2 linked regions of the Anolis sagrei genome follow. The protein of the gene in region 1 interacts with the protein of each later gene in a pairwise test. Links are inferred from orthologs where the notes say so. Each region holds a gene or a part of one and is shown on either strand. Other genes may lie near its edges. The genes, in order: USP13 and TRIM55.

Region 1 (15,480 bases):
TATTTTTGATGGCCTGTTTAAAAAATCAACTGCCTTTTCAGAAGACACAATTCACCCTTTACCCCAGAAAAGGGGTATTTTAGAGGAATCCAGCAATGGCTAGAAGCTACAAATACAACTGTTGGAGAAGTGCATGTTTTCCTGGAGCATCACTTTGCCTGCTGCTTCTTTATGCAATCACATGTGTCGATACCCAACTATTTGATAGTCTGGATCTTTTAATCAAAAGCTATTGCCATATTTTATTGATTCTATTCCTCTTGCTAATTTTATATGTCTGGTTTTAAATGTGTTAATGCGGATATATTGTATTTTATATGTTGTATGGCACCATTGTGAGCTATTTGTAAGCCGCCCTGAGTTTCTACGGGAGATGGTGGAGGGATATAAAAGTTTTGTGTTAATGTCAACCATTAAACAACAGGCAATCCTCAAGTTACAAACAAGATAGATTCTGTAGGTTTGTTCTTAAGTTGAATTTTTATGTAAGTTGGAACAGTTACATTTTTAAAAGTGCAACACCAGCCATATAAATATATATGCATGCATGCTTTGGATAGTATAGGAAAGGGTTATAACACCTCTGTAGTGTTTGTTTTGCTGTCTGTGCCCCTGTTCAGAAGATTTCCCCTCACTTTCTGTCACTGTGAGAATTGGATTTTGAAAAATTTGGCTTGTTGTGGAAGCAAGGATTGGAGATACAGCTTCAGAGGAGACATGTTTCCCCCCTGATAACTCTTTCAGAAGTGAATTTCCCTTCTGAGAGGTAGATTTCTTTCGCTTCCTGTTGTCTCACCCTTGTTCTTAAATACAAGTTGTATGTAACTCGTAGTCTTCCTGTATATACTAGCCTTTTCCCGTGTGCTTCATTGTGTGAGATCATGTGGAAAACTTAGACATTGTCAACTAGCTTTTGTTAGATAAGCTTACGTTAAATAGCATATGAGCTGTAATGTCTGCCTGTCAGATCTATCTCAACTGTTCCCCTGTTTATATTTGATACCCCCCCCCCCCAGTGGCACAGTGGGTTAAACCACTGAGCTGCTGAGCTTGCTGACCAAAAGGTTGGTGGTTTGAATCCAGGGAGCGGGGTAAGCTCCTGCTGTTAGCCCCAGCTCCTGCCAACCTAGCAGTTCAAAAACATGCAAATGTGAGTAGATCAATAGGTACCTCCTCAGCAGGAAGGTAACGGTGCTCCATTTTTTTTGTGGTGTCAGGAATGACTTGAGAAACTGCAAGTCGCTTCTGGTGTGAGAGAATTGGCTGTCTGCAAGGACGTTGCCCAGGGGACACCCGGATGTTTTTGATGTTTTCTCATCCTTGTGGGAGGCTTCTCTCATGTCCCCTCAGGAGGAGCTGGAGCTGACAGAGGGAGCACATCCGTGCTCTCCCCGGATTCGAACCTGTGATCTGTCAGTCTTCAGTCCTGCCGGCACAAGGGTTTAACCCACTGCGCCACCGGAGGCTCCACACGGCGCTCCATGCAGTCATGCCATCCACATGACCTTGGAGGCGTCTATAGACAACGCCGGCTCTACAACTTAGAAATGGAGATGAGCACCACCTCCCCAGAGTCGGACATGACTATACTTAACGTCAAGGGGAAACCTTTACCTTTACTTTACCTTATATTTGATAGGACTTTGGTTTGAGTAATAGACAACATAATCCAATTTGGTTTTGGCAACTATATTAGTCTGTTGTTTAAAGGATGGCTAATTACTTGAGTGCTTGACCAATTGTTCTTATACTATTTTTAATTGTCTGGCTTGTATATCACGTTTTAATGAAGATTTTTATTTTTAGCCTGTTTTGGGTGGAAGGCCCACATGCAAATTAAGGGCTACCTAAATTTGCAACTAATATGTAGTCTTCCTTTCCATTTTCTCATTTTCACTTTCTTGTTCTTTAACAGGAAGAAACAAAAGGAAGCCCGCCGCCTCATGCGAGAAAGAGGCGATGGACCATGGTTTCACTATGAAACCACTGGCACAAGCCTGATTGACTATTCTCCTAAATCAACGCCCGATAACTAAGATTGTTCATCTCTTGATCCAAGTGTGAATCCGCAGACAGCGTCTGAATTAATGTAATATAGATATATATAATTTCAATAAATATTTCTGATTCAGAAACCTGCTGTAATGTTTCAAATACAACGCAGTCTTGACCATGCATATTCAAAACGTATGATGTATGAAATGGGTGGCTGAGATACTGATGCATTTACTTTGTGATAGTTGCTGCAAGTACATAACTTTGTTTCATGCACAGCACGTTTAAAACAGTAGCTTAAAGTACCATCATCTTCTGCAGAAAAAACATCAACAAATTTCATGTTAAGACTTTTACTCCATCTCCAAATGGCGTGAAAACAATTTAGAGTGATTAATGGCCAAAACTAACAAAATGAAGTTCAACAGCGACAAATGTAAGATACTCCACTTAGGCAGAAAAAAAGGAAATGTAAAGATACAGAATGGGGGAGGATGCCTGGTTCGACAACAGGACGTATGAAAAAGATCTTGGAGTCTTTGTGGAGAGGAAGATGAACATGAGCCAACAATGTCATGTGGTGGCAAAAAAAAAAAAAACAAAACAAAGGGAGTTTGGCCTGCATAAATAGGAGTCTAGTATCTAGATTTAGGGAAGTCATGCTACCCCTCTATTCTGCCTTGGTCAGACCACACCTGGAATCACACTGTCCAATTCTGGGCACCACAATTGAAGGGAGATGTTGACAAGGTAGAATGTGTCCAGAGAAGGGCAACTAAAATGATCAAGGATCTGGAGAACAAGCCCTATGAGGAGCAGCTTAATGAGCTGGGCATGTTTAGCCTTCAGAAGAGAAGGCTGAGAGGAGACATGATGAGGGCCATGTATCAATATGTCAGGGGAAGTTATAGGGAGGAGGGAGCAAGCTTGTTTTCTGCTGCCCTGGAGACTAAGATGCAGAACAATGGCTTCAAACTACAGGAAAGGAGATTCCACTAGAACATTTGGAAGAACTTCCTGACTATGAGAGCTGTTCAGCAGTGGAACTCTCTGCCCCAGACTGAGGTGGTGGCTCCTTCTTTGGAGGCTTTTAGGCAGAGGTTGGATGACCGCCTGTCGGGGGTGCTTAATGTGATTTTCTTACTTCTTGGCAGGGGGTTGGACTGGATGGCCCATGAGGTCTCCATCCAACTCTATGATTTTATGATTCCACTATATCTGTTTATGTATATAAACAGATATGTTTATGTATATAAAGGTCTTGCTTTAGCACAGCAGGTTAATTACCAGCTGCAGTAAATCTTGCAAACTGAAAGGTTGACAGTTCGAAGCTAGGTCAGGGTGAGCTCTCAACCTTTAGCTCAGCTCCCCCGCCCACCCAATGGATCAAAAACATCAACGTGAGTAGATGAATAGGAACCGCATTAAATGGGGAGGTATTTTAGGCACTGTTTTGAAGGAAAGTTTATGAACAAAGAAAGCTCGTCGGCAAGGAGATGGAGCAACAGCACTCCTCTGTGGCCGGAACCGAGCACAGCCTCCAAAAGACGCTGAATGATGAGAAAAAGCCTAAAAATATATACCTCTATCTATTGTCTGTCTTGTCATTATATAATCAGCATTGAATGTTTGCAGTACATGTCTTCTGTGATCCACTCTGAGTCCCCTTGGGGGGGGGGGATCTGTGCCCGTATCTTGGGAGGTCTGACTTGGCCACGGTGGTCCACGCTCTTGTTACATCCCAAATAAACTACTGCAATGCGCTCTATGTGGGGTTGCCTCTGAAGACTGCTTGGAAGCTTCAGCTAGTACAATGCACGGCAGCCAGTTACTTACGGGAGCGGAGTACAGGGAGCGCACAACGCCCTTGTTACACCAGCTCCACTGGCTGCCTATTAGCTTCCGAGCACAATTCAAAGTGCTGGTTTTGACCTATAAAGACCTAAATGGCTCTGGCCCACTTTACCTGTCCAAAGGGGTCTCACCCTATGAACCATCAAGGACTTTAAGATCATCTGGGGAGGCCCTGCTCTCAGTCCTGCCACCATCGCAGTCATGTTTGGTGGGGATGAAAGACAGGGCCTTCTCCGTGGTGGCCCCTCAGCTGTGTAACTCTCCCTAAAGAGGTTAGATCTGCCCCCTCCCTCCTGACTTTTCGCAAGACATTTAAGATGTGGCTGTGGGAGCAAGCATTCGCAGAATAGATGGTTTTAATTGGCTTAGATGAGATTGTATGGACCACATTTTTTGGACTGGTTTGGAGCACGCTTTAAACTTGGCAAACCGTTTTTAAATGTATATTTATTACCATTTTATGTAATTGTGTATTTTATTGGTGTTTTTATATTGTTGGAAGCCACCCTGAGTCCCTATTCGGAGGTCGTGAATAGGACGGGATACAAATGTTCTAAATAAACAAACAAACACATACATAAATACTGTAAATAAATAAATATGCAAACTGAAATACAGATTATTTCTGGTCCAGGTAATTCAAATAAGGGATACTCAACCTACACCTGTTTTCCCCCCAAAAGTGGATGTGGAAATTATTCAAACCATTAGAGGGCAGCATTTATTCAACCTCAAAGGCCACCTATTCTTATTTAGCGATGAATAGAACTTCAGTTCAGAATGTATCAAGCTGTACAATCTAAATATGGAAGAAATAAAAAGCAATATTTGGCACATCCTCTAGAAATGGAAGAGTATTTTGTTTCAGTTCATTGTTCTGATCAGAATTTATGAGCATCTGGATGTTAGAAAAAGCAGAACTGACTTGGTACTGAGTGTCCTTTGACACTACATCCATTGCACTGCAATTCCATTTTCACGGATGCATTCTATGGAATTTTAAATTACAAATCTCAGACCTCTCCTGGAACAACTTTGTGTCCAGTTCTGGGCACCGCAATTTCAGAAGGAACAAGCCGGAACGTGTCCAGAGAAAGGCAACCAAAGTGGCAAAAGTTCTGGAAGACAAGTCCTGTGAGGAGCAGTTTAGGGAACTGGGAATGTTTAGTTTGGAGAAAAGGTTGAGAAGGGACAAGAGATCCATGTTACAATATTTGAAGGGGAAAAACTTATTTTCTGCTGCTCTTGAGACAAAGGGCCTTTCCAGACAGGCCCTGTATCCCAGGATCTGATCCCAGGATTTCTGTTTATCCCAGATTATCTGGCAGTGTGGACTCATATAATCCAGTTTAAAGCAGAAAACCTGGGATCAGATCCTGGGATATAGGGCTTGTCTGGAAGGGCCCTAGGACACAAAGCAATGGATTCAAACATCAGCAGAAGAGATGCCACCTAAACATTAGGAAGTTTGCAGATGACACCAAATTGGGAGGGATAGCCAATACTCCAGAGGACAGGAGCAGGATTCAAAACGATCTTGACAGATTAGAGAGATGGGCCAAAACTAACAAAATGAAGTTCAACAGGGACAAATGTAAGATACTCCACTTTGGCAGGAAAAACGAGATGCAAAGATACAGAATGGGGGACAACAAGTTAAACATGAGCCAACAATGTGATGTGGCGGCATCTCTCAGGGGTGATTTGAATGCAATATTCCTGCTTCTTGGCAGGGGGTTGGACTGGATGGCCCATGAGGTCTCTTCCAACTCTTCGATTCTATGATTCTATGAACTGGAGGGCTTGCTAGGGAGATGTCTACTCAAGTTTTTTAAAAACCCAAATATTCATGTTTTGTTGGTTTTTTACTTTCCTGGGGGCCCTGTTCCCCAATCTCAGCAAATATGGTGGGATCACTGTACATTTAGAAACTACAACTTCCAGCATTTCCCATTCTGAAAATGCCAGCTGAAGTCTCATGGTTCTCAAGCAGGGAGAAAAAAGCCCAGCACAAGAAGGAAGGCTGGTTCATGTAAGGTTCAGATACCAAACAGGTACCTGAGCCATCCTTCTGGCATTAACAGTAACTCCTATTCAACGTGACAGCTGCCATTTCTGATATTTTTCTCTCATTGTCCCTATTGTCTGCTTTATCACATTTTCTTCTTAGCAAAATGTCTCTTTGAGGCCTACTCTTCCCTCCTGGCATCTCACTTTCTGCTGCAAGTGAACGGCCCATAAAGGAAGGAGATGACATTGATGATGCCCATAAGTACCACATGGCCTTGCCCTTGTGCCATAGGGTTGGCTTTCCAGCATGAGATTCAGAATTTTCTAATTCAAAAGAAAAATGAAAAGGTGGACAGAACTACAATATTTCTTTTCAGTATCATATCTCAAATACCTCTCCTGCTGTGCTTTGTCGTTCTGTGAGCAAGCGTGCTTATTTATTTTGGGAGGAGTGTGATGGAGTTGTTTTAGCATTGAATGAAATCCATTGGGTGATCATGGGGAGGTCACATTCTCTCAGCCTCAAGAGGAAAAGGTAAAGCTTTCCCCTGACATTAAGTCTAGCTGTGTCCGACTCTGGGGGGTGGTGCTCATCTCCATTTCTAAGCTGGCATTGTCCGTAGACACCTCCAAGGTCATGTGGCCAACATGATTGCATGGAGCTCCATTACCTTCCAGCAGAAGTGGTACCTATTGATCTAATCACATTTATAAGTTTTCGAACTGCTTGGTTGGCAGAAACTGGGGCTAACATTGGGGTGGGGGGTGTCTTCTCCGACTGCCATTCCCAGAACCCTCCAAACTGAATCCCCTGTTGTGGGATGGGCAATCTGACAAGGCATGGTTAGCTTGTAGACTCCGATAAGCCAACAATGTGATGCAGCAGCAAAAAAGCCAATGATGATTTTGGCCTGCATCAATAGGAGTATAGTGTCTAGATGCAGGGAAGTCATGCTACCCATGCTCTATTCTGCCTTGGTCACACCACACCTGGAATCACACTGTGTCCAATTCTGGGCACCACAATTGAAGAGAGATATTGACAAGCTGGAATGTGTCCAGAGGAGGGTGACTAAAATAAAAGGGTCTGGAGAACAAGCCCTATGAGGAGCGGCTTCAAGAGCTGGGCATGTTTAACCTGCAGAAGGCTGAGAGGAGACATGATGAAGGCCATAGTTCAATATGTGAGGGGAAGTCATAGGTAGGAGGGAGCAAGCTTGTTTTCTGCTGCCCTGGAGACTAGGATATGGAACAATGGCTTCAAACTACAAGAGAGGAGATTCCACCTGAACATGAGGAAGAACTTCCTTACTGTAAGAGCTGTTCAGCAGTGGAACTCTCTGCCCTGGAGTGTGGTAGAGGCTCCTTCTTTGGAGGCTTTTAAACAGAGGCTGGATGGCCATCTGTTGGTGGTGCTTTGAATGCAATTTTCCTGCATTTTGGCAGTGGGTTGGACCAGATGGCCCATGAGGTCTCTTCCAACTCTAGGATTCTATGCTCCATATGTATATCCCTGTCTGTAAGTTCTTGTTTTGTGAGGAATTGTGAGAAATAAATAATCTTTACAGGATAGATGAGATTGTGGAACTCTCCTGGTCACAGTGAATGCTTTTGACGCAGACTATTTATTTATTTATTTACTTCATTTATATACCGCTTTTCTCAGCCCTCAGGTGACTACTGAGACCGACATTGATTTTACTTCTTTCTATAGGAATCAACGAGTGCATAATGTGAGTTTGAATCCCTGGGCCCATGAGATTGCATAGCAAAAATAAAGGGCCAGCATGCAAATAGCATCGATTTTGAATTTGCAGGGGTATCTGATGTGATCCGAGTTTGATGGCAAGCAGGGGCGGTTCAACCCATTACGCAAAGCAAGCATTCGCAGTATAGTTGATTTTGCCCAGGGGTGATCTTGAGGCGCTCTTGGGGGGAAATAGACCTTGACATATGCGAGTTGTAGTTACTGGGATGTATAGTCAGAAGCAGCCGTAGGTAATTTTCAATGGTAAGCAAACAGTATTTTGGTGCCCCCCCCCCCCAAACCAATCATTGATATATATTTTCTGCTCGTCATGGGATTTGGTTGTGCCATATTTGGTTCAATTCCATCATTGGAATTCCACCAGAATGCTCTTCAATTTGATTTTAGATTTTAGGTGAACTATACATCCCAGTAACTACAACTGCTCTTTGATTTTAGGTGAACTATACATCCCAGTAACTACAACTTGCATATGTCAAGGTCTATTTTCCCCCAAGAGTGCCTCAAGAGCGCCCCTGGGCAAAATCGACTATACTGCAAATGCTTACTTTGCGTAATGGGTTGAGCCGCCCCTGTGTAGAGTTCACCTACAATCAAAGAGCATTCTGAACTCCACCAATGATGGAACTGAACCAAATATGGCACACAGAACTCCCACGATGAACAGAAAATATATATATCAATGATTGGTTGGAGGATGGGGCGCCAAAATACTGTTCGCTTACCATTGAAAATTGCCTAGGGCCGCCTCTGATGGCAAGTTAAAAGAAAATGAAAGAAGACCCCCCCCCCCCCCCCGCCAAATTCTTTACTCCAGATACAGAGTCTTGATCTGGACTGCCCACAATGAGAATAAAGGGAGGGATCTGTAGTCAATGGATGGTGCTTTGAAGTCAAGACTGAACACAGTTTGATCTCAATACAGAACCTTACCTCTGGATGTGTGTGAACCAGTAACATTGGGAAACAAGCTTCAGGGATAAATACAATTGACCTCATTGGACCTTCAAACGAATAAATGTTAGTAGGAATATGAATATCAAGCAGGCATGGGCAAACTTAGGCCCTCCAGGTGTTTTGGACTTCAATTCTCACAATTCCTATCAGTCCATAGGCTCATGAGGTCTCTTCCAACTCTGGTTGCCCAGGAACGCACCCTTCCCCAGGAATGAGCCTGGGAGTGACTGGCGAGGCTTCCTCTGAGCATGTGCAGAGTGCCTCTCCCTTCCTCCTCCCTCGGGGGCCAGGAGGCAGGCTCCGAGGGCGTGGCTGGAGGAGCCTTGGCGCTTCTCTCTGGGCAGCTGCGGCTCCCTCCGTCTTCCGCCGGGTTAAAGATAGCCTCCCTCCCTCCTCCTCCTCCTCCTGCTTCTCGTCCGGCCAGGAGGGCTTTCTCTCTCTCTCTCTCTGTCTCTGTGGGGCGATGGAGCGGGCGGCACTGTTGGGGTCCGGGCGGGAGGCAGCGGTGGGCCCGGAGATCGCGGGGGACGTGGGCGAGCTCCTGGTGCCCTACATGCCCACCGTCCGGGTGCCCAAGACCGGGGACCGCGTCTACAAGGCCGAGTGCGCCTTCTCCTACGACTCGCCGGTGAGTCCCTTCCTCCCTTCCTTGCCTCCTTTGGGCTGTGGGTCCCTTGCCTTTTTCCAGAGACCCCCTCCCTCCCTTGACACTTGCTTCCAGGCCTTGGCGGGGCCACCCATTCCCCTTTCCAGGGGGTCGCATGGTACTTTCTCCTAGGACTGTCTCTCCTAATTGGCTTTTGAGAAGTGTTTGGGGTCTGGGAAAGATTTCTGCAGAGAGATCCCTTGCACATGGGTCTCACCACATTTAGCTTTTCTTTCCTTGGCTTTGCATGTTCTCTTTAGTGCTTTTGCTGTGAGTTTTCCGGGCTGTCTGGCCATGTTCCAGAAGCATTCTCTCCCCACGTTTCGCCCACACCAATGGCAAGCATCCTCAGAGGTTGTGAGGTCTGTTGGAAACTAGGCAAGTGGGGTTTATCTCTTGAGTGCTCTTGCTGTGAGTTCTTCGGGCTGTCTGGCCATGATCCAGAAGCATTCTCTCCCCACGTTTCGCCCACTCCAATGGCAAGCATCCTCAGAGGTTGTGAGGTCTGTTGGAAACTAGGCAAGTGGGGTTTATTTCTTTAGTGCTTTTGCTGTGAGTTTTCTGGGCTGTCTGGTCATGTTCCAGAAGCATTCTCTCCCCACGTTTTGCCCACAGCAATGGCAAGCATCCTCAGAGGTTGTGAGGTCTGTTGGAAACTAGGCAAGTGGGGTTTATCTCTTTAGTGCTTTTGCTGTGAGTTTTCTGGGCTGTCTGGCCATGTTCCAGAAGCATTCTCTCCCCACGTTTCGCCCACACCAATGGCAAGCATCCTCAGAGGTTGTGAGGTCTGTTGGAAACTAGGCAAGTGGGGTTTATCTCTTGAGTGCTTTTGCTGTGAGTTTTCTGGGCTGTGTGGCCATGTTCTAGAAGCATTCTCTCCCCACGTTTCGCCCACGCCAATGGCAAGCATCCTCAGAGGTTGTGAGTTCTGTTGGAAACTAGGCAAGTGGGGTTTATCTCTTTAGTGCTTTTGCTGTGAGTTTTCTGGGCTGTCTGGCCATGTTCCAGAAGCATTCTCTCCCCACGTTTCACCCACACCAATGGCAAGCATCCTCAGAGGTTGTGAGGTCTGTTGGAAACTAGGCAAGTGGGGTTTATCTCTTTAGTGCTTTTGCTGTGAGTTTTCCGGGCTGTCTGGCCATGTTCCAGAAGCATTCTCTCCCCACGTTTCGCCCACACGAATGGCAAGCATCCTCAGAGGTTGTGAGGTCTGTTGGAAACTAGGCAAGTGGGGTTTATCTCTTTAGTGCTTTTGCTGTGAGTTTTCTGGGCTGTGTGGCCATGTTCTAGAAGCATTCTCTTCCCACGTTTTGCCCACAGCAATGGCAAGCATCCTCAGAGGTTGTGAGGTCTGTTGGAAACTAGGCAAGTGGGGTTTATCTCTTTAGTGCTTTTGCTGTGAGTTTTCTGGGCTGTCTGGCCATGTTCCAGAAGCATTCTCTCCCCACGTTTCGCCCACACCAATGGCAAGCATCCTCAGAGGTTGTGAGGTCTGTTGGAAACTAGGCAAGTGGGGTTTATCTCTTTAGTGCTTTTGCTGTGAGTTTTCTGGGCTGTGTGGCCATGTTCTAGAAGCATTCTCTTCCCACGTTTTGCCCACAGCAATGGCAAGCATCCTCAGAGGTTGTGAGGTCTGTTGGAAACTAGGCAAGTGGGGTTTATCTCTTTAGTGCTTTTGCTGTGAGTTTTCTGGGCTGTCTGGCCATGTTCCAGAAGCATTCTCTCCCCACGTTTCGCCCACACCAATGGCAAGCATCCTCAGAGGTTGTGAGGTCTGTTGGAAACTAGGCAAGTGGGGTTTATCTCTTTAGTGCTTTTGCTGTGCGTTTTCTGGGCTGTCTGGCCATGTTCTAGAAGCATTCTCTCCCCACGTTTCGCCCACAGCAATGGCAAGCATCCTCAGAGGTTGTGAGGTCTGTTGGAAACTAGGCAAGTGGGGTTTATCTCTTTAGTGCTTTTGCTGTGAGTTTTCTGGGCTGTCTGGCCATGTTCCAGAAGCATTCTCTCCCCACGTTTCGCCCACAGCAATGGCAAGCATCCTCAGAGGTTGTGAGGTCTGTTGGAAACTAGGCAAGTGGGGTTTATCTCTTTAGTGCTTTTGCTGTGAGTTTTCTGGGCTGTCTGGCCATGTTCCAGAAGCATTCTCTCCCCACGTTTCGCCCACACCAATGGCAAGCATCCTCAGAGGTTGTGAGGTCTGTTGGAAACTAGGCAAGTGGGGTTTATCTCTTTAGTGCTTTTGCTGTGCGTTTTCTGGGCTGTCTGGCCATGTTCTAGAAGCATTCTCTCCCCACGTTTCGCCCACACGAATGGCAAGCATCCTCAGAGGTTGTGAGGTCTGTTGGAAACTAGGCAAGTGGGGTTTATCTCTTTAGTGCTTTTGCTGTGAGTTTTCTGGGCTGTGTGGCCATGTTCTAGAAGCATTCTCTTCCCACGTTTTGCCCACAGCAATGGCAAGCATCCTCAGAGGTTGTGAGGTCTGTTGGAAACTAGGCAAGTGGGGTTTATCTCTTTAGTGCTTTTGCTGTGAGTTTTCTGGGCTGTCTGGCCATGTTCCAGAAGCATTCTCTCCCCACGTTTCGCCCACACGAATGGCAAGCATCCTCAGAGGTTGTGAGGTCTGTTGGAAACTAGGCAAGTGGGGTTTATCTCTTTAGTGCTTTTGCTGTGAGTTTTCTGGGCTGTGTGGCCATGTTCTAGAAGCATTCTCTTCCCACGTTTTGCCCACAGCAATGGCAAGCATCCTCAGAGGTTGTGAGGTCTGTTGGAAACTAGGCAAGTGGGGTTTATCTCTTTAGTGCTTTTGCTGTGAGGTTTCTGGGCTGTCTGGCCATGTTCCAGAAGCATTCTCTCCCCACGTTTCGCCCACACCAATGGCAAGCATCCTCAGAGGTTGTGAGGTCTGTTGGAAACTAGGCAAGTGGGGTTTATCTCTTTAGTGCTTTTGCTGTGCGTTTTCTGGGCTGTCTGGCCATGTTCTAGAAGCATTCTCTCCCCACGTTTCGCCCACAGCAATGGCAAGCATCCTCAGAGGTTGTGAGGTCTGTTGGAAACTAGGCAAGTGGGGTTTATCTCTTTAGTGCTTTTGCTGTGAGTTTTCTGGGCTGTCTGGCCATGTTCCAGAAGCATTCTCTCCCCACGTTTCGCCCACAGCAATGGCAAGCATCCTCAGAGGTTGTGAGGTCTGTTGGAAACTAGGCAAGTGGGGTTTATCTCTTTAGTGCTTTTGCTGTGAGTTTTCTGGGCTGTCTGGCCATGTTCCAGAAGCATTCTCTCCCCACGTTTCGCCCACACCAATGGCAAGCATCCTCAGAGGTTGTGAGGTCTGTTGGAAACTAGGCAAGTGGGGTTTATCTCTTTAGTGCTTTTGCTGTGCGTTTTCTGGGCTGTCTGGCCATGTTCTAGAAGCATTCTCTCCCCACGTTTCGCCCACAGCAATGGCAAGCATCCTCAGAGGTTGTGAGGTCTGTTGGAAACTAGGCAAGTGGGGTTTATCTCTTTAGTGCTTTTGCTGTGAGTTTTCTGGGCTGTCTGGCCATGTTCCAGAAGCATTCTCTCCCCACGTTTTGCCCACAGCAATGGCAAGCATCCTCAGAGGTTGTGAGGTCTGTTGGAAACTAGGCAAGTGGGGTTTATCTCTTTAGTGCTTTTGCTGTGAGTTTTCCGGGCTGTCTGACCATGTTCCAGAAGCATTCTCTCCCCACGTTTCGCCCACACCAGTGGCAAGCATCCTCAGAGGTTGTGAGGTCTGTTGGAAACTAGGCAAGTGGGGTTTATCTCTTGGGTGCTTTTGCTGTGAGTTCTCTGGGCTGTGTGGCCATGTTCCAGAAGCATTCTCTCTCCACGTTTCGCCCACACCAATGGCAAGCATCCTCAGAGGTTGTGAGGTCTGTTGGAAACTAGGCAAGTGGGGTTTATCTCTTTAGTGCTTTTGCTGTGAGTTTTCTGGGCTGTGTGGCCATGTTCTAGAAGCATTCTCTTCCCACGTTTTGCCCACAGCAATGGCAAGCATCCTCAGAGGTTGTGAGGTCTGTTGGAAACTAGGCAAGTGGGGTTTATCTCTTTAGTGCTTTTGCTGTGAGTTTTCTGGGCTGTCTGGCCATGTTCCAGAAGCATTCTCTCCCCACGTTTCGCCCACACCAATGGCAAGCATCCTCAGAGGTTGTGAGGTCTGTTGGAAACTAGGCAAGTGGGGTTTATCTCTTTAGTGCTTTTGCTGTGCGTTTTCTGGGCTGTCTGGCCATGTTCTAGAAGCATTCTCTCCCCACGTTTCGCCCACAGCAATGGCAAGCATCCTCAGAGGTTGTGAGGTCTGTTGGAAACTAGGCAAGTGGGGTTTATCTCTTTAGTGCTTTTGCTGTGAGTTTTCTGGGCTGTCTGGCCATGTTCCAGAAGCATTCTCTCCCCACGTTTTGCCCACAGCAATGGCAAGCATCCTCAGAGGTTGTGAGGTCTGTTGGAAACTAGGCAAGTGGGGTTTATCTCTTTAGTGCTTTTGCTGTGAGTTTTCCGGGCTGTCTGACCATGTTCCAGAAGCATTCTCTCCCCACGTTTCGCCCACACCAGTGGCAAGCATCCTCAGAGGTTGTGAGGTCTGTTGGAAACTAGGCAAGTGGGGTTTATCTCTTGAGTGCTTTTGCTGTGAGTTCTCTGGGCTGTGTGGCCATGTTCCAGAAGCATTCTCTCCCCACGTTTCGCCCACACCAATGGCAAGCATCCTCAGAGGTTGTGAGGTCTGTTGGAAACTAGGCAAGCGGGGTTTATATATATCTGTGGAATAATGTCCAGGGTGAGAGAAAGAACTCATGTCTGCGTGAGGCAGGTGTGAATGTTACAATTTATTGTCGAAGGCTTTCATGGCTGGAATCACTAGGTTCTTGTGGGTTTTTTCGGGCGATATGGCCATGTTCTAGAGGCATTTTCTCCTGACGTTTCGCCTGCATCTATGGCAAGCATCCTCAGAGGTAGTGAGGTCTTCTTATTACTTTCTTTTTCTTTTTCTTTTTCTCATTACTTTCTTTTTCTTTTCTTTTCTTGAAAAGAAAGTAATGAGAAGACCTCACTACCTCTGAGGATGCTTGCCATAGATGCAGGCAAAACACCAGGAGAAAATGCCTCTAGAACATGGTCATATAGCCCGAAAAACCCCACAAGAACCTCATGTTACAATTGGCCACCTTGACTAGCATTGAATGGCCTTGCAGCTTCAAAGTCGGGCTGGTTGCAGCCTGGGGAAATCCTTTATTGGGAGGTGTTAGCTGGCCCTTCGTAGAATATCAAGCCTGCAAACTTTGTGTTTCGTTTGTTTGTTTGTTTGCTTTAATGCAATACAACTGTTTTGGTTTGCTCCTAACACGATAAATAATAAATAAATAAGCTGGCCCTGATTGATCTAGTGTCTAGATTTAGGGAAGTCATGCTCTCCCTCTATTCTGCTTTGGTTAGACCACACCTGGAATATTGTATCCAATTCTGGGCACCACAATTCAAGAGAGATATTGACAAGCTGGAATGTGTCCAGAGGAGGGCGACTAAAATGATCAAGGGTCTGCAGAACAAGCCCTATGAGGAGCGGCTTAAGGATCTGGGCATGTTTAGCCTGAAGAAGAGAAGGCTGAGAGGAGATATGATAGCCATGTATAAATATGTGAGAGGAAGCCACAGGGAAGAGGGAGCAAGCTTGTTTTCTGCTTCCTTGGAGACTAGGACACGGAACAATGGCTTCAAACTACAAGAGAGGAGATTCCATCTGAACATGAGGAAGAACTTCCTGACTGTGAGAGCCGTTCAGCAGTGGAACTCTCTGCCCCGGAGTGTGGTGGAGGCTCCTTCTTTGGAAGCTTTTAAACAGAGGCTGGATGGCCATCTGTCGGTGGTGATTTGAATGCAATATTCCTGCTTCTTGGCAGGGGGTTGGACTGGATGGCCCGTGAGGTCTCTTTCAACTCTTTGATTCTATGATTTTATGATTCTTGTCTGGAATTCCCCTGTTTTTTTTTTTTAGTGTTGCTCTTTATTTCCTGTTCTGATTTTGGAATTTTTAAAATACTCGTAGCTAGATTTTGTTCATGGCCAGAATAATTGGGTTGTTGTGAGTTTTCCGGGCTGTCTGGCCATGTTCCAGAAGCATTCTCTCCCAACATTTCGCCCACACCAATGGCAGGCATCCTCAGAGATTGTGAGGTCTTTTGGAAACTTGGCAAGTGGGGTTTATATATCTTTGGAATGCCCAGGGTGGAAGAAAAATACT
Region 2 (15,763 bases), on another chromosome or scaffold:
CATAGTGTATGAACTGTTCAGCTTGGTGAAAAAGAGATTGAAGGGTGGCAATATCACATTCTTTAAATACTACAAGGGAGGCAATAAAGCAGAGAATGCAGGCATGCAATGGTTTTATGTTACAGGTGGGTAGATTTTGACTGAACTTTAGAAAGAACTTTTTGAAAGTGAGAGGAGTTTGGCAATGGAACCAACTAAAGAGACATGTTGGAGTTCCCTGTGAATGTCTCAAGGAGATGCTTTAGTTGGAGATCCTACACTGATCACGGAGTTGGACCTGGTGGCAACTCTTTCAAATCTATGATTTCATTTCATGATTCTATAACAGATGCTCAATCATTTGATCTTATGCTATTGTATGGACCATCTCCATCGGTATCATTAATTTCTGGTTGTGCTGGCAACTTCTATTGGCATAGAAATCTTTCCAGCATCAGGTCAGTCTACATAGGTTGCAGAGAGTGCCAAGAGATTATTTGAATCTAGGAAAACCAAAAATATATTTCCAGGGCTCAGGACTTCAACAAGAGGGCCTTGGCAGAGCCTTTCCATTTTTCTGTTTCCCACTGAATCACTTCCTTGTGCTTTCGACCGTTTGTCTTGTAAATGGGATAAAGGGAGCTGCAATTGCACAACAATAATAGAGGACTGCAGGAAAAGATATTTAATTGTGGTTTCTTATTTTAAAAGTTGATAGATTTTGGGTCCTGGAAATCCATTAAGAGGAATAGGAGTTGTTTGTTTTTCTTTTACCTTCTGTCTTTGGTAAACATTTGTGATGGGAGCAACTTGGCAATCTTTATGAGCACCGAAAACTTTGCACATTGAGCATGTGGGCACTTCACAATTCAAGCAGTAAATATTGATTTTCTCATCTTCATGCTCTTCACACATTGGCTGCTCAGGTTTTCTTTCCGGCCTGCAACTGCAATTAATGAAGAAGGAAAGCAAGAATTTAATTTCCAATTAGAACCACTTAAAGATCAAATAACATGGTTTATAAGACATTTCCTTGCCAGATGATTTGCTCCTCTAACACACTATCTTCTTTGGCTTCTACATTGCCATATAAAATCCAGATTATCTGTTTTGAACTGGATTACACAGCAGTGTAGATATAACCCATATAACCCAGTTCAAAGCAGATGATGTGGATTATCTGTTTTGATAATCTGGATTATATGGCAGTGTTGAAGGGGCCATAGACTAGGATTTGAGGCTATCTTGTTTGCAATATAGGGCCGTTCCGCACAGACCTCAATCCTGGGAGGAATTGGGATATTATATCTCAGTTCTTCCCAGGATTGAGCCCTCATGGTCACCCCAAACCTCAGGCTTTCCGGGGGGGGGGGGGATTGGCTACAAATCCCCCTGAGTCAAAAAATTATCTGAGGGGCCCGGCTGCATTCTCTGCCCCCTATGCCAAAAGCTCCTGGTGCATCTAAATGATGCGTTGGGCAATGGGGGAGAGACTCCCCTTGCCCCCAACCTCCAAATGCATCATTTTGATGCACCAGAAGCTTTCTCTGGAGGAGCTTGAGCATGCCGCCAGGCCCCTCAGGTAAGTTTTGGAGAGAAATGGGAGACTGAGAGGGGAGGATGCGGGTGCCATGCCCCCAAAACTGGGATTGCTGTGGGGATTGACCCCCTGGATCGTGAAAGTGGTCCCAGGAGTCAATCCCCTCAGGTTCCACACCTGGAAAGATCCAGATCTTACATTAAGATCCAGATCTTTCCAGGTGTTTTATTAATCGGGAGTAAACTGGAAATCCCAGTTTACTCCAGATTAATTTGGGTTTACCTGAGGTGTCATTTTCATGCCTCAGGTAAACCTGGGACAGATCCCACATTCAAGGATCCTCTTGTAATATACTCAATATACTGAAACCATATCCCAAGTATATTACACAGGATTTCTGTTTGTGGCATAGTTCCCTTTCCCAAGGGATTATATTTTAAGCAGGATATCTCAGAAGCTATTTGGAAGAGGGCCAAAAAAGCTTACTAGAGAGAAGAGCTGTTTTTTTGGAACAATGCCTATTCTCTGAAATGCTGAACTGTCTCCATTTGGCTATAACATGGCTTCAACTAAACCAACTAGCTTCTACGACACCTCATAAAATTCACAGGCCTTTCCTGAGCTACAAACCCAATAGATGTTTCTAACTTCAAACTATCTATAAAGCCCTCTCCTCATGAATATCTTCCTAGCTCTCACCCAGCTTTGTGCTTTCAAAGGTCATCGCTTGTTAGGGAAATCAGTTTATTATTGATTCTAAGGCCCCTTCTACACTACCGTATAACTCAAATTATCAAAGCATTTAATCCACATTATCTGCTTTAAACTAGATTATATAAATCTACAGTACCATATAATCCAGTTCAAAGCAGATGATCTGGATTTTATATGGCAGCGTAGAAGGGGCCTAACAAGCGCCCCAGTGAAGGTTCTTGGATGTCAACGGTTATAAGTACAATGTTCCAATATTTTGTGTTCATTCATTTAATTGATACAAATATTATAATTCAGCATCCTGAACAGAAGAAGAGCCCCTATATGATCTCTAATATAGAACATAAGAAGACCACCAAAAGGAGAGAACATTCTCTTTAGAGATGTTTTGTTTTTTTAAAAAATCCTTTAACCTTGGCATGAATTAATCTACCATAGCATTTGGCCAATCATTCACATTCATTTCATTGTTTAATAACTCAATTCATTTCTTAATTCTAAAGTTAGTGCTGAAATTCCAACATTTCAACCCTTTAGTTGAAAAATAAACTAAGGTGATCCTTTCCCTTAGAAAACTTCCAGCTCAGTTGATAATTTAATTGAATGTAAATAGTTGACATCTTTGTGCAAGCATACAAATATGGTTTAATGAAAGGTACAACTTGAGCGTGGTGATGGCGGGAGCAATGAAAACGTGCCTTTTCTAGGACACTCTTTGTCTTGGGGCCAGTCCTGCTCTCTTCATCCCAGCTGCCGCCTTTTGTTTCCCCAACTGCCTCATTTCCCTTCTTTATGCTACTGCAGATGTTATTCTAAAGCTTCACAGAGAGAGGCATCTATGAATTCATCATCTAAGAAGCCCATGGAGACAGCCCCATCCTCAGAGACTGCATATTAACAGCAATTATGGGGGGGGGGGGGAGAGAGAGATAAGACAGGAAGAAGGAAGTGAGCAGCTGGAACCTAGAAGGTGTCAAATGGCATAGATAAGGTTGTGCAGTTCAAGTGCCAATTCTCCTGATAATTAGTTTAGCTTAAGGGACACAAATGAAGGTTAAAATAATCCTTCGACAAATCCTCCTCCCTTTCCCTATCTCAGAACCTTTACTAAATCTAGGAAGGACTGTCTAACTATTTTTGTTCTCCTTTCAATTGCAAGGCCTTTTATTCCCTCAAGGGAAAATACAGTCACATTCCATTTGATTTTTAACAAATCACGAAAACTGTTATAGTAGCTTCAGATATTTCCATGTCAGGGTGAAGCTCAGCTCACATGGATTTCTTCCTTATTTTGTAGCAATATGGAGGTATGTAAAATGTATCTTCACCCCTGGTGACCAGAATACCCTCATGAAAGCTGGAAAGTTAAATAGCCTCTGTGTATCTATCTATATATGTTGTGTGTCTATAGCATTGAATGTTTGCCATGTATATGTACATTGTAATCCGCCCTGAGTCCCCTGTGGGGTGAGAAGGGCAGAATATAAATACTGTAAATAAATAATAAACAAATATTTGTTTAAGTGAAAAAGTATGTATCTCTTAAGAGGAATAAGGAAGGGGCCATTCGTGTTTCCAGTGGCACGGAGTTCCACAGCCTAGGAACAGCTACTGAGAAAACTTCCCTTTGTGTTCAACTACCTCATCATTCCTGATATATCATTGCAACCCTGAAATTGTGAGGAAATGTATAAAATTTTATATTTCAAACTAATTTAAATCGCAGAACCATTACAACTGCAACAATACACTGGAGACGTTTCTGCTGCCATGATGCTAAGCACATTTACTTAGAAAGAAGTACCATTTTATTGTAGAATAGAGAAAAATATGTAAAAAGTAATCCAATAATGAAATGACCTATGGCAGCCATGTATATGTATGGATGTTTGTTCCCAATTAAAAAAAAATATAAAAACAACAGAAACAACTAAAATGCTGCAGTAATCAGTATCAGCACTGATAGGCTGAGTGTACCCAATACAGCCCAGATTTGGATGCCAAGATTCTTTGCTCATGTTCCCATCACCTCCTGCTTGCTCTCTGATTTATCATTCAGGTTTGGTGCTAAGTTTTGGGGCTCTGGGCCTTGTCCCACAAAGTTCAGCCTACCTAAACACCAAGCAGAAGGACTAATCTGTGCCTGAAATCCAGAACTAATAACTTCCAACTTTTCACAGATCAATACCGTGACACATGGCCAAGCAACATCCAAGATTGGTCAAGATAGCAAAAGTTATTGAAGAGAAAGGCCAGCAAGGCTAGGAAAGAAGAGCCTCTCCTAGGTCTAAAATGGTCCGGGGGTTGGAGGGGAGATAACATGTCAAAAGTGCCTCCCATTATTCCTAGAAGAAGTAGTTTTTATCTCAAGGGGCCTGGGTCACACAAAAATAGCCTGGCAGCCAAATGCATCTTGGGGGTTACATTTTCCCACTTCTGGCTATGAACAAGGATTATTTGTGTACTCAACTACATAGATGTATGGCTGCTTCCAGTCGTCTTCCCAAGGGAAACAGAGGTACACCCTCCTTGGTGTCCTTCAGCCAGTAGGCAAAGTCATTTGGGCAGGCTTTTAGCAAATGACTGATTGCCTAGAAGCAGGCTTTTAATGGAAGGGGACCGTATTTTTATTGCGGTTCTTTTAATTGCTTTAAATCCTATTACTTTTTAATATTGCAATGTGTTTGATTGCATTTTTATACTTTTTTGAATTTTTATTTGTATCTTTGAATCTTGTTGTATTTGAACTTCCAGAGATAGATGAGTTACAAATAAAAACAAACCCAAAATATTCATCAGATGTGAAGATTAAATACTGAGGTAAAGCTGAATATTGTTTGATGACAATTAATTCCACAAAGCACACAAAGCTGACATTCTATAGTAAATATCTGTAATAAATATAGAACCTTGTGCAACAGCTACAAATGGATGATAAAACTTCTCATTAAAAAAAGGTAAAGCCAACCAGTTTTACTTCTTGTAAAACAAAGCGTAACTAATATCAGAAGTTCAACAATCAAGAATTATGCATGCGGCGTTCTGTGTGGTCCCTATCTACTTGTACATAATGAAGCCTGTTGATGATGATAACTATAGCCTTTTCCTTTTATATCTAGGTTAGTGTTTCTCAACCTGGGAGAGGAGGTGTCAGAAGGGTCACCAAAGACCATTGGAAAACGCAAATTTCTAATGGTCTTAGGAACCCCTTTGGCTGGGAAGGTTGAAGATCTCACTGCCTGTTTTTCTCTTCCTTTTTGGAAACAAATGGCTGTAGTGGCCGGTCTCTCAGCTAAGGGAAGTGCTGTTCCTGAGACTCCAAGCAGGGTGGGGAGAGCAGACATGCTTGGTACATGGCAGCGTAGTGCAGATGCATGGGCAAGAGAGAGCATGCAAGGGTGGAGGAAGGCTCGCACCAGCAAGTCCCTTCAAGGCAGGTGGGAAGCACCTGTGTGACGTGGGACTGAGAATGGCCCAGCAGCATCAGAGGAGCAGCAGAAACAGCTTCGGTAATTTGTAACGCTATTTAATAGGGAAAAAATCAGTCTTTTGTTTTTTATTAATGCTCCCATTAGAAAATGCATAATTGTTTGTGTCCGCAGTGCTCTATGGATGTAGATGACCTATAACTCCACAACCCAAAGTCAATGCGCACCAAACCTTTCCAGTATTTTCTGTTGGTCATGGGAGTTCTGGTGCCAAGTTTGGTTCAATTCCCTTGTTGTTGGAGTTCAGAATGCTTTTTGATTGCTCTTTGATTTCTGGTGAACTATACATCCCAGCAACTACAACTCCCAAATGACAAAATCAGTCATTTTTGTCAGTATTCAAATCTGGATGTATCAGCTATTTGTGCCAAATTTCTTCCAGTGAATGAAAATACATCCTGCATATCAGATATTTACATTACGATTCATAACAATAGCAAAATTACAGTTATGAAGTAGCAACGAAATTAATTTTATGGTTGGGGGTCACCATAAAATGAGAAACTGTATTAAGGGGTCACAGCATTAGGAAGGTTGAGAACCACTGATCTAGCTGTAGTTATACACTTTCATGCGACAGAGGAAAAAGGGGAGGGAGGAGGAAGAAGAGGGAGAGGAAAGTTGGGATGGGGAAAGAGGCACTGGGTTGCTATGAGTTTCTGGGCTGTATGGCCATGTGACTCTGGACATGAAAACCTTCGACAACAAAAAGAGGCAGTTCAGCAGTAGTTCAGTTCTACAATTCACGTTATTTGAATACCCTATAATTCTCTTTTTGAGGCCTTAAACTATCGTAATTTGTTTCCATGGGAAATGCAACCAATGTAGGAACTGCATCCACAGACATTCCTTCAAGGACAGAAATTGATCTATTACCTGGCAGATTCCTGCTTGTATATATCAATTATGTTTTCCACCAGCAGATTCCTCTGAAGGCCATAGACGCCATGTCTGTCTAGAACAACTTCGTGCCTGCATGACGGACAGCGGAATCGACCTCCTGAAGCCACAGTGGTGCCTCCTCTCATTGGCAGATACGGGTTTGAGGCCTGTTCTTGCCAAGGAGTAAAAAAGATTGTGGAGTCAAGCATGCATTCATTCACAGATATTTCCTGCAACTGCTTTCACTTCCATATTGTAAGATGCATGTCAGACTATCTGCTTAAGAAATGATCACATGCCTTTGTGTTACTCATTGCACTTTAATCACTGTTGGATAAGGCAGAGCTGTCAAAACATTTCATTTTGGTGACACACTTTTTAGACATGAATCATTTCGCGACACAGTAATTCAGTTTTACTGGACAAAGTTTTTAGTAAGGATTTATTAATGACATGTTTTATTGCTGCGGTTATGATTTTATGTATATTAATGTTTTTTAAATTGTACTTATGCTTTGTGGCACTGAGTTTTGTCATGTAAACCGCCTCAAGTCGCTTGAGGGCTGAGAGGAGCACAGTAAATAAATAAATAAATAAATAAATAAATAAATAAATAAATGAACCAGAAGTTAAACCAATCCCTTATAAGAGATTAAAACATACATCAATTGTAATAGTGAAATGCATGGTGACATGTCATCCCATGGAAACCTTTTATTTATATGTCTTCGATATATATTGTTACATTCATGCAAAACATCTACATATTGCAGTTTGGAAAGTCCTGGAATAAGATAATCAAAGATAAACTTACCTTAACCACCAAGGCATAGTCCAAAATGCTATCCAGTAAGTACAAAGGGTACATTGTTTCCATTTTGTTTATGGAAGGTTCGCACCAGCAAGTCCCTTTTGTTTAAGGATTCCAAGTTCATAAGGTAACAACTGGGTTGTTGTGAGTTTTCCAGGTAGTATGGACCTCACAACCTCTGCGGATGCTTGCCATAGATGCAGGCAAAACGTCAGGAGAGAATGCTTCTGGAACATGGCCATACAGCCTGGAAAACTCACAACATCCCAGTGATTCTGGCCATGAAAGCCTTCGACAATACAAAGTAACAACTTCTTGTAGAGATAAACTTTCCATTCTTAGAAGTATTGGGGAAGGACAGGAATGAGTTTATATTTTAATATCTCTACGTACATTAAATAATTATAATTCATTCTAGATCAATAGGGTGGGGAGCATTTCCACATGCAAAGGATCCAGAATCATACAGCAAATAACAAACAAGTGTCTTTTTTCTAATTCATTTTTTTTCTCATCTAGAGAAAACCCTTTTTATTAAACCACCACATCTGATTTTATAATCTGAAAGGTTAAATAATTCCAAAAGGTCAACTTACCTGGAAGATATCGCTGGCACATTTTCGACATAGGTTGTGCTGACAGGGGAGGATCACCACTGGCTTAGAAAACATCTCTAAACATATGGGACAAATAAGCTGTTTCTCTAAGTTATCCATAGTTTCTTGCTCTTTGGAGAAAGACTTGTAATTAAGAGAGGTGCTCATCTCCTAGAGAGTCTGAGGAACATAGGCTCAGAATCAGAATGCGGCCAATGGGTTTCCGGGTTAGGTCCCCTGAAAAAATTCCAATGCTTGTGAGATCAAATGTCCTTTGAGACTCTTTCCCTGGATGACATTGTTTTAATGGGTGGAAGGGAAAGCAGGGAGCTGGGCCTATTTTAGAAGCAGAGCGTCATTGGCTGCCATACTCACTCTCTCCATATATGCATCTGTCACAAGGACAGATTTAGACAGGTGACAGCTCACTGGGGTGAAAGAGCAACATTCTTGTGTCCAAGAGGAATGGGGGGGGGGAGCATAGGGGAGGAGGTGGAGAAATTCAACAGTTGCCGCTGACACATGCACCACTCACTCTTTTGGAAAAGTTGAAATATCATGTTGACCATAGAATACAGCCTGGTTGTTAATATCTTTACATCTCATTGTGGTAAGAAAAAGCAAGGAGCAATTCAATAAGCATACCCTAAATACTCATATATATGTCTAGAAATTTTAGTCAAAAAGTCAGCTCCAAAAATGGTGTCATCTTATCCATGGGTCAATGTAAGTACTGTATATTAATTTTTCAAAAAACTACCACCTACTTCTCTGAATAGAATGGTAAAAGTTAAGAGCTTGGTCCATCCCAGGAAAACCTTAAAGAAGCACTGACCTCTTCTACCCTCTACACTATGGTGCTGCTTCTGGACTTTTTGATTGCCTGCACGGGGAAAATGGTAGTGGCAGTCAAAGGCCCTTTAAGTCAGTCCTAGTGTTTTCTTTTCTCCATGGAATTATTCTCAACTTATCTACATGGGGGGTATCAAAATCCACAATTCTTGCCCTGAAAAATTATGCAGGAGGTTGGCTTATACTCGAATAGATATACGATAGAGTCTTGCTTATTCAACCTTCGCTCATCCTATGTGCTGTATTATTCAAAGCAGTCTGTCTCCACAGCTGTTTCAAAACATTGCAATGTTTTGGTGCTAAATTTGTAAATACAGTAATTACTACATAATGTTACCATGTATTGAACTGCTTTTTCTGTTGATGTTTTGGTGCTTAATTTGTAAAATCATAACATAATTTGATGTTTAATAGGCTTTTCTTTAATCCCTCCTTATTACCCAATATTTTTGCTTATCCAACATTCTGCCAGCCCATTAATGTTGGATAAGTGAGACTCTACTGTAGTACTACTACTTTCTAAAACTAAAGTGGGTCCAAAAGGCAATTTTCTGGTCCTGGAACCCACTCAAATAATGATGGATTGCCAAAGAACAAACCAAAAACACGCAGAAGTAACCAGACATTTGATTATGGCTTTGGGGGATCCCCACCCCCTCCCCCTGCAAAAAAACCCTGTTGAGATGTGTAAGAAAGGCCTTCAACTATTTAATATATGAACTTCTGAAGGCTTCTAGAAGAATAATCTCCCCCCCCCCCCTTTCATGTTTTTTAATCCAGGATGTCTGAAGAGGAAAAGGGCCATAGATGTGGTGCCAGGGGTTATTCAATATGACCTTGACAGATTGGAGATCTGGAGCAAAGCTAATAAAGTGAATCTCAGAAGGGTACTATATCTAGGAAGGAAAAATGTGTAAGATTAATGGGAGAAAAAAACAACACTTGTGAAAATGATCAAACAATTTTAGCAGATTATAACAAACATTATTCAATAGTATAATGCAGTGACTAAAACAAGCAAACAAACAATGGACTGTAGGCTGCATCAAAAGGAATGTAGCGATCAGATCAAGGGAAATAGTGGAGAAATACTTTTTCCAGTTCTGAATAACAGTTCAATAAGGACAAGCTGGAATATGTCCAGAGGAAAACTGCCAATATGGTAAAAGGTCTGCAAATCAAGTGCAATGAGAAATAATTTTGAGATCTAGGTATGTTGAGCCTGGAGCAGAGAAACTTAAGAGGTAATATGATAACCATCTTCAAATATATGGAAGGATGCCATGCAAAAGATGGAATGAACTTTCTTGTTGCTTTTCTAGAGCCTCAGATATGAACTATGGAGTTCAATTACAAGAGAAGATTAGAGATTCCACCTCAATATTAGGATGAACTTGTGTACTGTTCAATGGTAGAATAGATTGGCTTGAAGGATGGTGAACTCTCCTTTTCTGTGGTTTCTAAACATAGTTTGAATGGCTCTCTCTCAGGAATCCTTTAATTGGAATACTTTGTGGTTTCTATATGATTCTGTGTGCTTCCAGGGTTGGACTTTGCCTCTTATTAACCAATTAATTGCATATTTCTAATGTCCAGAACCTACTTTTCTCAAATGGTATATAAGGCTTCAAAAAGTCTCTATCTCTTTTGTAGAAAGAAGTAAGATGTGGAAACAAGTTCCACAATTAGTTGTGTGAACCAGTCTTAGTAGTGGCAGATGGTGTGGCAGATGGAAAGATGCTCCCTTTGTAGAATAGCACTGAGGCAGGAAGCCCCCTATGCTCTCACCAGTGCGCAGTGTGGTAAAATAGCATAAAAGGATGTGGCTCAGTTGGCTTTGTACTCACACATGGCTGACCAGCGGTGTCTATTGCTAGATAATGGTAAGCCAGAGGCCCCATCCTCCTCTTCTGCCTCAAAAAGCCAATTGGCAAATGTTTGCTTCTTTCTTCTCTTGATCTTCTTCCTGTCATGCTGTCACACCTGTAGATAGTGTTGCCATAGAGAAATCATACTTAGCTCTTCAATAATATTCTTCATAAATAAGCTTTCTCTGTAGTTTTTTAAAGGAACAGTTCCAATACACTTAAAAAGAAAAAAAAACCTTTCAGTGTTTTCTAAGTTCAAGTACTTTGGAAAAATAGCGAAGATGCACCATTTTTATTGGCTGAGCAGAGGTGATAATTCTGCCTGGGTTATACGCCCATAGTATAATCCCAATGATTAAGTTCCAGCACTGGGACACTGCTTTGTTTCTGTTTATTGGATGCATGGATCCCTCATAACTTGGCACTTGTTGCAAAGTTATTTTTAAAATGACAATTTCCCAGATCACGTCTGGCATGTGAGGCCTAATCTTAAAGCAAGCCATCTGTGCTGTTACTTGCCAATACTTTATCAGACAACTGTACAAGCAGTATGTATCATGTCTATGAGTTTAAGTGCAACATCTACTTTACTTACTGTAGCAGGCGGTTGTATTCGCATTCATCCTGTACATACCACTTGCACATTGGGTCCATTTTATTTGCTAATAAAATAGCTAGGATAGCTAGCTAGCTAGAGAGAGAGAGAGAGAGAGAGAGTAAGAATATACCTCTCTCTGCTTAGAGACAGCATGGTGAAAAGGCCTGTTCATTATACTAATAGAATTTGTTATTATCTGGCTATCAAGATACAAGGAAAGTTTAAATTTCAGCTCTAAACACAAGGAAGGAGTAACCTTCAAGGGGCAATCTATACTTACAACAAAGTCTATGGGTAATCTATACTTAAAACAAAGTCTGGGCCCAACCAAAGAGCACAGGCTTTATAACTAGTCTTAAAGCTACTTCAAGATCTCTTTTGCACACTGATCCAGACTACATTGCTTTGTCTTTGAATACTATGTGTACATACAATATATGCAAATACAAGTATTCCAAATCAGGAAAAATCCAAAATCCAAAACACTTCTGGTCGCAACCATTTTGGGTAAGGGATACAGCCGCTCTTATGAATTGTGGAAGTTGAAGTCCCATACACCTGGAGGGCAGAAGTTTGCTCATGCCTGGCTGTAGAATATGGACACATCCTCATCAACTCTGGCCTACAAGAAGCACTGCTTGACTATCAAGCAAAAAGTGAGTGCTAGAAACAATATTGTATGAAAGCTGAATAGCACAATCTGGGGAATCACAACCAAACACAGTGAAGACATCTGCCCTTGTGCTTTGCTACTCCGCTGCTGAGTACACATACCCAGCGTAGAACACATCTCACCATGCTAAAACAGTAGATATGGCTCTTAATAAGACATACCACATTATCACAGGATGTCTATGCCCCACACCATGATCAAGGGTCTGGAGAACAAGCCCTATGAGGAGTGGCTTAAAGAGTTGGGTATGTTTAGCCTGAAGAAGAAAAGGATGAGAGGAGACATGATAGCCATGTATAAATATGTGAGAGGAAGTCATAAGCTGTGATGAATGGTGGGAGTTAGACTCCAAACCACCTGCAGGGCCCAAGTTTGCCCATGCACTACTGCATAGTGGAAGTTCTTCCAAATGTTCAGGTGCTGTTTGATTCCATTGCTCTGGTTTGTCCTAGTGTCCAGAGCAGCAGAAAACAAGCTTGTCCCTTCCTCAAGAGGAGACATGCTAGCCATGTATAAATACGTGAGAGGAAGTCATAGAGAAGAGGGAGCAAACTTGTTTTCTGCTGCATTGGACACTAGAACGCGGAACAATGGCTTCAAACTACAAGAGAGGAGATTCCACCTGAACATGAGGAAGAACTTTCTGACTGTGAGAGCCCTTCAGCAGTGGAACTCTCTGCCAAGGAGTGTGGTGAAGGCTTCTTCTTTGGAATCTTTTAAATAGAAGCTGGATGGCCATCTGTTGGGAGTGCTTTGAATTTGATTTTCTTGCTTCTTGGCAGGGGGTTGGACTGGATGGCCCATGATGTCTCTTCCAACTGTATGATTCTACATTATAACTGTACCCTCAATTTGCTTCTGACTCTATAAATAAATAGTCTATTCTTTATTGTAGGGAAGGAACTGCAACCTCCAAACATGGATCTCTTGAGTAACTTTTTATATTGAATCACAGAGTTAAACTACTAAAGTCACAGTAATTTACAAAGCACAAGAGGGAAGCTATTTTCAATCAGAAACTGAAAGTGCAAGTTTGAAAAAAAAATCTCCTTCGAGCCGGAATCGAACCAGCGACCTAAGGATTCCTACAAGGGAAGTTCTCCTCTACAGTCCTCCGCTCTACCAGCTGAGCTATCGAAGGCACACGGCGGAGCTGCTCCCCTTGAGAGATCTAAGCCTCCGGAAGAGACAGGCACTGCCTCTATTGCCCCATGCTATATAGGTGCCTGAACAAAGGTGATAGTTTGGGTATCTGCCTCTCTTGCCAGGTTTGTTTTCATCCTTATATACACGGTGACAAAATCATAGTTTGGGTTTTGGAATTTTAAATATATATATTGGGTTTTCTTGGAGTATTTTCAAGCTTGGGGTTTGCTGACTCTCATGGTTGCCAAACCCATGGACACAGGGGCTGGCTGCACTGTGTGTATTCCTCTTCCAATTTTTTTTGGCAAAGGGTTAAGGCAAGCGAGGGGCCAGTGGCGCAATGGATAACGCGTCTGACTACGGATCAGAAGATTGTAGGTTCGACTCCTGCCTGGCTCGTTTCTTTTACTAACACTTTGAAATCCAAACATTCCAGTACATTCACTGATTCTTCTTGTTCCTTTGCATGTGGAAGAGAGCTGAAGATTTTTTCAAGTATCATTAGAATCAAAGAGTTGGAAGAGACCTCGTGGGCCATCCAGTCCAACCCCAGCCTAGAAGCAGGAAAATTGCATTCAAACCACCCTTGACAGATAGAATCATAGAATCAAAGAGTTGGAAGAGACCTCATGGGCCATCCAGTCCAACCCCCTGCCTAGAAGCAGGAATATTGCATTCAAAGCACCCCTGACAGATGGTCATCCAGCCTCTGTTTTAAAACTTCCAAAGAAGGAGCCTCCACCACACTTCGAGGCAGAGAGTTCCACTTCTGAATGGGCTCTCACAGTCGGGAAGTTCTTCCTAATGTTCAGATGGAATCTCCTTTCTTATAGTTTGAAGCCATTGCTCCGCATCCTAGTCTCCAGGGCAGCAGAAAACAAGCTTGCTCCCTCCTCCCTATGACTTTCTCACATATTTATACATCATGTCTCCTCTCAGCCTTCTCTTCTTCAGGCTAAACATGCCCAGCTCCTTAAGCCGCTTGTCATAGGGCTTGTTCTCCAGACCCTTTATTATTTTAGTCGCCCTCCTCTGGACACATTCCAGCTTGTCAATATCTCTCTTGAATTGTGGTGCCCAAAATTGGACACAGTATTCCAGGTGTGGTCTAACCAAAGCGGAATAGAGGAGTAGCATGACTTCCCTGGATCTAGACACTATGCTCCTATTGATGCAGGCCAAAATCCCATTGGCTTTTTTTGCCGCCACATCACATTGTTGGCTCATGTTTAACTTGTTGTCCACGAGGACCCCAAGATCTTTTCCACATGTACTGCTCTCGAACCACGTGTCCCCCATCCTGTATCTTTGAATTTCATTTTTTTCTGCCTAAGTGGAGTATCTTGCATTTGTCACTGTTGAATTTCACTTTGTTAGTTTAGCTTGGGTTATTTGAAAAAGTCATGTTTTTTTTTAAATTTCCCAAAATGCATAAGGTTGTGGGTGAACTACAACTCACACCATGCCAGGTTAGCCCCCTGAAACTCCATTAGTAGTTAAAGTTTGTCATGTTGAGCAAGTTTGCTCTAGATCAGTGCTTCTCAACCTGTGGGTCCCCAGGTGTTCTTTTTTTGTGTGCCTAAAACTCCCAGAAATCCCAGCCAGTTTACCAGCTGTTGGGATTTCTGGGAGCTGAAGGTCAAAACATCTGGGGACCCACAGATTGAAAACCACTGCTTTAGATGCATCATTGGTGGGGTTTAGTGTGATCTCTGGCTGCAGGATAAACTACAGCTTCCACTATGGTGAGCTAGTCCCCTCAAATCCCTCCAATAGGTTCAGTTAGTCATAGGCATTCTGTAATGCCAAGTTTGGTCCAGATCCATCATCGGTGATGGTCACAGTGTCTCTGGATGTAAGTGAAGTACAACTTCCAGAAATGAAGGCCAGTTTTCCCCAACCCCTAGTATTTTTAGTTGGTCATGGTGGCTCTGTTTGCCAAGTTAGATCTAGGGCCATCGTTCGTGAGGCCCCAAATGCTCTTTGATTGCAAGTGAACTATAAATCCCAGTACCTACAACAGTTATAAAGCAAGGTGAATTTTCCCTCAAACTTCTCCAGTATTTTTCTTTGGTGATGGGGGTTCTATGTGCTAAATGTGGTCCAGCTCCATTGTCAGTGGGGGTCACAGTGCTCTGACTTGATGCAGGGTGAACTACAACTTCCATCACGTGGAGCCAATCCCTCAAATTCCTCCAGTATGTTTACTTACTGATTAGTGCAGAAAGCGTTGAAAAGAGTAGGAGGTTGGTGCTCATCTCCATTTCTAAGCTGAAGAGCCGGCATTGTCCGTAGACACCTCCAAGGTCATGTAGCTGGCATGACTGCATGGAGCGCCATTAGCTTCCCGCCGGAGTGGTACCTATTGCGGAAGTAATTTCGGAACCATTGACAGAAGTCATTTCGGAACCATTGGCAACCATCTTTGAGTGTTCTTGGAGAACAGGAGAAGTTCCAGCAGATTGGAGGAGGGCCAATGTGGTCCCAATCTTCAAGAAGGGAAAAAAGGATGACCCAAATAATTACCGTCCGGTCAGCCTCATGTTGATACCAGGCAAGATTCTGGAAAAGACTGTTAAGGAAGTGGTCTGCAAACACTTAGAAACAAATGCGGTC

The links.
Region 2: the proteins of USP13 (region 1) and TRIM55 interact in a two-hybrid assay, tested with the Homo sapiens proteins (2 studies listed by BioGRID and IntAct). The link is inferred for Anolis sagrei from reciprocal best matches to the Homo sapiens genes USP13 and TRIM55.

What each region holds. Positions count from the first base shown.
Region 1 is NC_090023.1:257,651,447-257,666,926, forward strand, and holds the start of USP13 (ubiquitin carboxyl-terminal hydrolase 13), read left to right. Parts: upstream 1-8,888; 5' UTR 8,889-9,047; coding exon 9,048-9,212; intron 9,213-15,480. Other genes in the region: NDUFB5 (NADH dehydrogenase [ubiquinone] 1 beta subcomplex subunit 5, mitochondrial), read left to right, coding at 1,916-2,036. UniProt on the Homo sapiens protein: Deubiquitinase that mediates deubiquitination of target proteins such as BECN1, MITF, SKP2 and USP10 and is involved in various processes such as autophagy, endoplasmic reticulum-associated degradation (ERAD), cell cycle progression or DNA damage response.
Region 2 is NC_090024.1:45,667,965-45,683,727, forward strand, and holds the start of TRIM55 (tripartite motif-containing protein 55), read right to left. Parts: upstream 8,325-15,763; 5' UTR 8,179-8,324; coding exon 8,011-8,178; intron 6,776-8,010; coding exon of another isoform or gene 6,771-6,775; coding exon 6,598-6,770; intron 926-6,597; coding exon 754-925; intron 1-753. UniProt on the Homo sapiens protein: E3 ubiquitin ligase that plays an important role in regulating cardiac development and contractility, muscle growth, metabolism, and fiber-type differentiation.